Drosophila melanogaster: one gene and its partner. Changing the gene in region 1 together with any one later gene gives a genetic interaction. Each region holds a gene or a part of one and is shown on either strand. Other genes may lie near its edges.

Region 1 (3,996 bases):
CCAAGGAGAAGCCACCACTCCCCGAGGAGTACATCTACTTGCAGACTGTGCTGGAGGAGCTGAAGAACCGCTGCCTGGGCGCAACCAATGATCCGGTAAGTCTATTAATAAATGATCCATATAGACAAAAGGAATAACTTACTTTTGTTTATAAATTTTCTTACATTTTAAGCGCACAAAACGAAAGTTTGTCGATGTTGTCAAGAGGCTCGAAAATCTCTACGACTGCCTGAGAGATGGAAAGGTGAGAGCTGCTGCCTTAGATCGCGATTCAATTGCAATTCTCAAATGGCATTTACTTTAATTCCAGCTCACTCCCACCACGGTGCAATATCTGAATCAAATAGTTCAGTACATTCAAATATCCGACTATGCCAATGCTATGGAAATCCACACGCAAATCGCCTTCGGAACGGACTTTGCGCAGTGCGCGGGCTTTATGCAGGGACTGAAGGTCCTACTGCAATCCGCATCCGAGCTACAGTTGGTTCTGCGTTAGAGCCCCGTCGCCGGATCGCAGCCAAGTTCACTAAACGTATATTCTTATTGTGTCTTCAGATATCGATGTCAAACACAAAATGTTTTGTATACAAAGAGTGGTTCTCTACGTTAGTTTAGGCTGGGATCACCAGAAGATTGTCAACGTTATTCCGTGTATTGAAATATATTTCCACTTAAATCGCAAATAGACATATGCATAAATAACAAAACGAACATTGTACATGCTTTCACAACAGCTTCGGCTGGTTCCTGATATTCTCCAAGTCCAGTTGAATATGTGGCGAAGGGGCGGTCGCCGCCATGGGAGATTGTGGACACACCGGCTCCAGTTGCTCCTCGGGCAGCAGACGGTATTTTTTGAGATACTTGTACGAAGCATTGGATATGTCGTTTGGACTCTGCGCGTGGCCTATGTTGTCGATCGGACGCAGTGGCTCTGGATTAGGGGACTTCGGCGACGCCCCCAGGCGCATATCCTTCATCAACTCATCCACTGGCTGGCGCAAGTATTTCAGCGCCAGCTCGTTCATCACCATGCTCTTCTCGGTGTTGGGCTTGGCCAGTTGAGGGATCCGCTTCGCCTGAGGCGTATTGGCCCGGTAGCCCGTAGATTGGGCGATCGGCGGATGTGGTCGAGGAGACGGAAACTGAGGAATCACTCGTGCTTGTGGCGGCGGCAATGGTTCCTCCTCCTCTGCTATGTAATCCTGCATAATGGGAGACAAGCGTCTACCTGCTAGGAAGGATGTTTTATTGGATTCTTTTCATACAGATTCAACGTACGCACCTTGATTGGTGGTCAGAATATCGCACTGGGTGCCAGTGGTACTGCTGGCTTTTGAAATGGCTTCGGGTTTCGCTCGCTGCTGTTGCTCCAAAATCATCTCGCAGAGATTCCGAAGCTGTTGCTGCTCATGGCGCACGGACTCCACAAGGGATACCAGAGCCGCCAGATCACTCTTATTGGCCAAGTTGCTGACGTCGATGTCGGAATAGACAACCTGGGGCAGTGATTTTCGCGGAGGAGATGGGTTGAAGGGATCGGTCTGTGTGCCAGCACAGATGGTGAGGACATCTGCGTTGGAGGAGCTGGACAAGCGCCTAGATTGATATGCCTGTTGCTTGGGCTCGGCATTATAGCCACCAGCATTGCAGTTCATATGATTGGTAGTCTGCTGCGCATCGCTTGCATAGTTGCGATCCCGGGGCATTACTTGGTATTCCTTCGAGGAGCACGGACTATTGCTGCTGGGAGCGGTGCGAGGACCCAGTTCTGTGGCCAAAATGGGCGAAAAGTTGACCCTGGGCAGCATTTGCTTCTTCCAGGACGCGAAGGTGGGTGCAGCACGAGGGGATGACTCCTGATGTGCATGATTTGGCTGCTGCGGCTGCATCTGCGGATCCTGCGGCGGCTGGCCAAACAATATGGATACCTCCGGCACGGTGGGCCCTATAATCTCATTGGTGTGGCCCATGGGCACTGCTGCACTCGGCCTGGGCGCTAGTCTGGGCAGCATATCCTCCGTTTCGGGAACAAACATTTGGAGCGTATTTGTTTATATTTGCCGATTAAATTAAATTCGAGCGGGAGAATCTGTCCAATTGGAAGTCGATCGACTTAGGGGTGGAACTAGGGCTGACGTAAAACGCCAACTTATCGATACTTTATCGAGTGTACCCTACACTTAGCCAAGTTTCCAAGTGCACGAGTCACCCAGCGGACTGTGTGTCATAGCAAAAGCTGAAATTTCTCGGGGGAAAAATGCCTGTTTTGGAGCACATCAAAGCCATGGCAGAGACTCCGACTCCAGCTGAGAACAGCCCTGCACCGGCAGACGAGAATGCTCCGCCCCAGGCAGTCCGGGAACTGACGCAGACCGACCATCTCAACCGACGCCTTCTCAAATCGCTCCTGGAAAACATGCAGGCCACCGAGGTTCTGGCGCAGGAGAACGGGAACGGCTCCAACGAGGAGGACAACGATTTCGAAGAATAAATCCTTTTATTAGAGTACAGTAAAACTAATGAGCTAAAACGGATCAACAATCGTCAGTTTCGGGCGGGGGTCACCTATATGCGACGGCGCTTGTTGCTCTGCACCGGCGGCGGCGTAGTGGAGGGGCTGATGGACTCGTTGGACATGGAGCCGCGTGTGCGCTTGGCCGGACGCTTGGGCAGCTGCTCCTGGGGCTTGGCGACGGGCTTTTTGTCGCCGTCCTTGGTGGAATTCGTCGGTACCGGCGTTTTGGTTGCAGGTGGAGCTGTAAAACAACATTACAAGTGAATGAATCCTGATGATAACTAACGAACTACCTTTGCCATTGGTCTCTGCTGTTGGAGGGGCCGACTGTGCCTCTGCAGCCTCCTCGTTGGCATGCACTTCCACCGTCTTTTTGGTCTGTAGCGTTCCGTAATCCTGCTCCGGCAGGCTGAACTCGCGCTCCTCGTTGGGAAAGGGCAGCGACTCCAGATCGTCCAGTTCCTTCAGCTTGTACATGGTGCCCAGGTGGCGCCAGATCAGCTCGCTGGGCATTTCACGGTTCAGCGACTTGGACAGACGCTGGACAATGCAGGACATGTAGAAGTGCTTGTTGATGCCCACCGGGCGCAGGCCTTCCATTGCATGGAACAGCTGCAGCTCTTCCTCGGCGGACCACTCGTGGTCGAGGGCGGCCGGTAAGGGGGCCGCCGTTCCGGCCACAGCCAGACCCTTGTCCTTGGCCATCATTTTGCAGAGCGCATGGAACTAAAAACTGATACGTATTGTATGTTTTTCTGCGCGAATATTAGCGATGGTATGCGGGTGCGCTCACGCACCCGAACTATCGCCGCGCGGCACATCACTAGTTTGGGTGTGTATCCACTTTTATTCGTCAACTTTGCTCGATTTTAGCCCGTAGAGTTCGAGATTTAAAAAAAAAAAAAACATATAAGCCGGAGCTGGTAATTAACAAATAGTGTGCAAATATAGTTATGTGTTGTGTGTGCATCCGTCGAAAACTTCACTTTTCCACTATAATCCCTCTGCTAACCACACGGCGCAGTACGCCTTCGTGTGTTTGTGTGTGTGTTCTCCTTCACTATTTCTGCATAAAAAACTAATTTTCGGTGTTCCCAACGAGTTGAGCAGTGTTTTTTGCACACAACTCGGGTTCTCCATGTGCTGGCACAAGTAGCGCCCACCGCCCACCACCACGCCCACTTGGGGTCAGTTAATAACCTTGCACTTGTTCGCGTCAAGGCTTCCAGTTCGGCTGGAAAGTTAATCAGCAATGCGATCGATGAAACCAATGCCTGCGTTCGGTTCTTTACATGTGCCACAAAATAACACATATGTTAATGCGTAGTGTGACTCACTATCTAGCTATCCTAACTTCCCGCCTAGTACTAAACACTGACTAAACTACACCAATCTACCAACTATCTCTGTCTAGAATCGCGAAAATGTACACATATGTTATAGCTTTGTGTCGCCTGTTCGATGTTGTGCCCGTA
Region 2 (3,998 bases), on another chromosome or scaffold:
TCGTCACTAAAGTAATTATGTATTTTTAATATCTTGATACGCCTCCTTAATCTTAAATTGTAATAAATAAAATAAAATCGAATCTTGTATAACAACAAATATCTTGTTGTAAAATAATAGTTCATACCTGCATAATTCCAAGCTGGTAACGAACGCGATTGTAATCGATATACGATATATGTATGGGAAGAACAAGAAACATAACAATAATAAATAAACGTAAAGACCCCAGACTCAAATTTAAATTAATTGTATTATCTTGAGAACAAACTTCACATGGGCATGATGGACAACAATGGCGTCGGCAAGCTGACACAAGAATCTCTAAAACGCAAGGAGCGTCTGCAAAAACTCCGGGAACAAGTGCAAAACAAAGGAGGAGACGCTGCCGAGTCCATTGAAAAGTTACCCAAGTCAGCAATACAATGAAATGCTATTATGAATCCCTATAAACCAGTTTCATATATCTTTGCAGACCAGTTTTCCGCAGCTACAAGCCCCAGAATGAGACCACCGATGGCGAGATTCTAGCACAGGAACCCACGGGCAACATAGAATCAGCTGTGGAGGATCAATTGAGTCTGCTCCAGCAGCCCATGGTGATAGATGAGATTGACATAACCAACCTGGCTCCCCGAAAACCCGACTGGGATCTGAAGCGGGATGCCAGCAAAAAGTTGGAGCGACTGGAACGACGTACCCAGAAAGCTATTGCTGAACTCATCCGTGAGCGACTGAAACTGAACCAAATGGAGGATATCAGCCAAGCGGTGAATGTGGCCACGGCTCATGCAGGTGAAAGTGTTCAGGAGGATTATGACTAGAGCTGAATAATACAACTAACTTTACTAAACTGGTACAAAAAACGAAAAAATGCATTAACAATAAGTAAAACTATCGCCGATTTTCTTTGCCCGTGGGTATTGCAAGCCGTTCTTTTAGAATGAGGATTTCTGAAAAGAGCAAGTTGTAAGTAGGTACACTTAAAGATTGGGGTCTCAGCTTACGTTTGGAATACTTCTGCTCCAGTCCCTGGGCAAAGTTACGCATGGATTGCAGTTGCTGGGGGATTTCCTCCCTCAGTTTTTCAATAGTTATTCGAGCCTCGCGCAGCTCATTCTCCCGCAGGGATAGTAGGCTCTCCTTGGCCTGAACCGCCTTCTCTTGCTGCAGAGCCACCTCTGTGCGCCAGGCAATGGTCTTTTTGAGGTTGAGCAGCTCCTGGCTTTGTTTAACGATTATCTGGTTGGCCTTGGAGATCTCCTCGGAGGCCATTTCCAAAGCCTGGCGCTTGGTGTGCAGGATCTTCTTCTCGGCCTCCAGTTCAGCGGCTATGTTGGCCTGCAAAATTAAAAGGGATATACTCTTCTGATGTGCATTATTCTTTTTATACACATACCTTCTCTTTGTTTCCCTTTTGAATATGTTCCTGCAGCTCGACAGTGTGCTGCTTGAGGTCCTCGATTTTGTACTCCAACTTGCGTTCATGCTTCCTGATATTGGCCACATCCCCGTGCAGTTTGTCATTTTGCTCTTTTAGGGTGCACACTCTGGCTTTGCAACAGGACAACTCCTCGGACAGGGTTTGACATCGTTTCTCGGCCTGCTCTTGGGCCGACTTTAGTTCTGCTTTCTCCAACGAAGCCTTGTCCAATTGGGCCTGAAAGCCGGAGATCGCTCTACGATTTCTCTCCAGCTCATTGCTGCGCTGCTCGTTTATTTTGGACAGTTTTTCCTGGTATTGATGGACCTCGGCAGCATGCTTTTCCTCTAAGATGCGAGTATTTTCGGCCAAAGCTTCCCTGATATTTGTGTTTTCCGTGGTCAACCTTTCCGCATGCGCGCGTTGTGCGTTGATTTCAGCCTGCATTTGCTGCATACTTTGCTCGAGAATATATTGCTTTTTGTGGGAGGCTTCCAGCATGCTGTTTATGTAGAAGAGTACGGTGTTCAAGGGAGCAGAACGACAAGGCAGGCTAAGGTGAACTAGGTTCTTAAAGGACCGAATTTCAACAAACTGAAGATAATAGTCGTGGACCTCCCTGCCGGATGAAAGGTTCTGATCCCGTGTGGTCAGGTGCAGCTCCAGTTTACCCGACTGGCAGTCCTTCAGCATGCGCACTACATTGTCAATGAACCCAGAGAATGACACATTCAGCGACTGATCCTGTTTAAGATCCTGAAAGGAGGCGCTGTCCACTGTGGTGATGTACATGCGCCGTTGATCGGACTTCTCCGTTAATCGGAGTTGCTGTGGGGCAGAGGATGTATTGAAATTTGATCGGAGGAGGTCTTGACAAGCATATTTACCAGCAGCTCCTTGAAGTCCACTCTCTCCGCGTACAGTAGACATGACCGTTTGCTAGACCGCGTCATTTCGCCATTAAAGTTCACCAGCATCTCTACGCTGGGCAGGATGTTCACCACGCTCTTGCCATAGTCCATTTTGGCGGAGTAGCTATCCTCGCTCCCTGGAGGCCACATGATAGATCAGGCTCGTGAGAAACCTTAATTTTTAAAATTTTAAAATTGGTAAACAAAAGTGATGGCTTGGGTCTATCGATGTCGATAGCTACCGATATGGCCGTGGAAGTAGCCATCGCTGGTCACACTGCCGGTCAGGTGCACAGTTGTCCATCTCCATTTCAATAAAAGAAAAAAACAGCGAAAAGTTGTAGAGAAAAATAAATACATGAATACTGTACGTAAGAAAGAGGCAGCGCCGCCGGATTGTCCATAGTAATCCGGAGTAATGCTAGCTTTATCCTGCAGACCGCCAAGGTGTTCGTCGGCAGCCTGCCGCGCTGCAAGCCGGAGGAGCTGCGTCGACTGTTCACCAACTATGGATCGGTCGTTGAGTGCGACGTGATGAATCGCTGCGCCTTCGTCCATCTGGAGAACACGGACATGGCGGAGGCGGCCATCGCAGCGCTGAATGGCACCATCTTCAAGGGCCAGCCCATTGTGGTGGAGGCGGGCAGGCCAAAGTACGGCCCGGGAGGTGGCAGTCGAGGTCAGCCGGGCTCTGGGGACAATCCGGGGCGCAGGCCCTCGCAGGGTAAGCTTTGATCACTCCAAAGATCCAGCATCTAAGTATTTCATCATCCTCAGTTCAAGGTGGCGGGGCGGACAAGAGACCTCATGAATCCAATACCAACTTCAAGCGCAACTTTCGTGAGGAAGTCGGTGGCAGATTCTCCAACGAAGGCCCAAGGAGCTCGAACTCCTCGGCCGCCAAATTTGGTCCCGTGAGAAACGAGTCCAACTACAGACAACAGCGCAGTGCTCCATACTCGAAAGGACCACCGAACAATGAGTCTTCCAATCAGGGACAGGGCTTTAGGAACAAATTTGCAGGCGGAGGCAAGTTCGGTGGAAGCGCGGGCAACGAGGGACGCTTCGGCAGCAATCGGTTTCAGCAGCGGGACAACAGTGGACCACAGCCTGGCAGAAGAAACTTTAAGAACAGTCCAACCAGCGGATATAGGGGAGGAGGCAATAATAGTGACTTTCAGGGAGGCAGCTCCAGCAGCGGGGGAGGAGGATCCGTAAATCAGAGGGCCGGCGGCGGCGGCCCAGGTCCAAGCCATGTGCGACAGGATCGACGTGGATTTGCCCTGCCTGTAGAGCATCAGCAGCAGCAAATGGGCTTCGGACGCTTTGGCAATGGACCAATGAACTCTGGCAATCGTGGGACTAATGGGTAAGTTGTGCATAAGATTGGGTTCTAAATTATATATAATATCTTGTTTTGCCATATAGAGGAAATCCACCGGGAGGACGTGGATTTTTCAATGGAGGAGGAGGCGGATTCAATGACAGACGCGATAGCAGTCACGAGACAAGCAGTCCCCAAGGAGGCCCAAGCAAACGCGGAGGTTCAGGAGGTAGAAATCACAATCAGAATGGCATAAATGCATATCACTCGGAGTTCCCGCCCTTGGGCAGTGGCGGCGGAGGTCCAGGCCAAAGAAACCGGTAGGTTCATTCATATCGTC

What was found.
Region 2: of ana2 (region 1) and Sas-6, changing one enhances a phenotype caused by changing the other (phenotypic enhancement), as found in Drosophila melanogaster (one study listed by BioGRID).

Annotation. Positions count from the first base shown.
Region 1 is NT_033778.4:8,898,079-8,902,074, forward strand, and holds ana2 (anastral spindle 2), read right to left. Parts: upstream 2,134-3,996; 5' UTR 2,043-2,133; coding exon 1,289-2,042; intron 1,238-1,288; coding exon 729-1,237; 3' UTR 651-728; downstream 1-650. Other genes in the region: Sec31 (secretory 31), read left to right, coding at 1-95, 173-244, 311-499; CG13751 (uncharacterized protein), read left to right, coding at 2,264-2,497; MrgBP (MRG/MORF4L binding protein), read right to left, coding at 2,572-2,762, 2,815-3,229.
Region 2 is NT_033777.3:29,993,853-29,997,850, reverse strand, and holds Sas-6 (spindle assembly abnormal 6), read right to left. Parts: upstream 2,495-3,998; 5' UTR 2,485-2,494; coding exon 2,311-2,484; intron 2,252-2,310; coding exon 1,400-2,251; intron 1,342-1,399; coding exon 1,008-1,341; intron 954-1,007; coding exon 895-953; 3' UTR 825-894; downstream 1-824. Other genes in the region: CG15525 (uncharacterized protein), read left to right, coding at 277-413, 476-824; CG7903 (uncharacterized protein), read left to right, coding at 2,693-2,701, 2,773-3,058, 3,112-3,703, 3,763-3,978. UniProt on the Drosophila melanogaster protein: Central scaffolding component of the centrioles ensuring their 9-fold symmetry. Required for centrosome biogenesis and duplication. In ciliated neurons, required for centriole assembly but not necessary for cilium basal body and cilia function.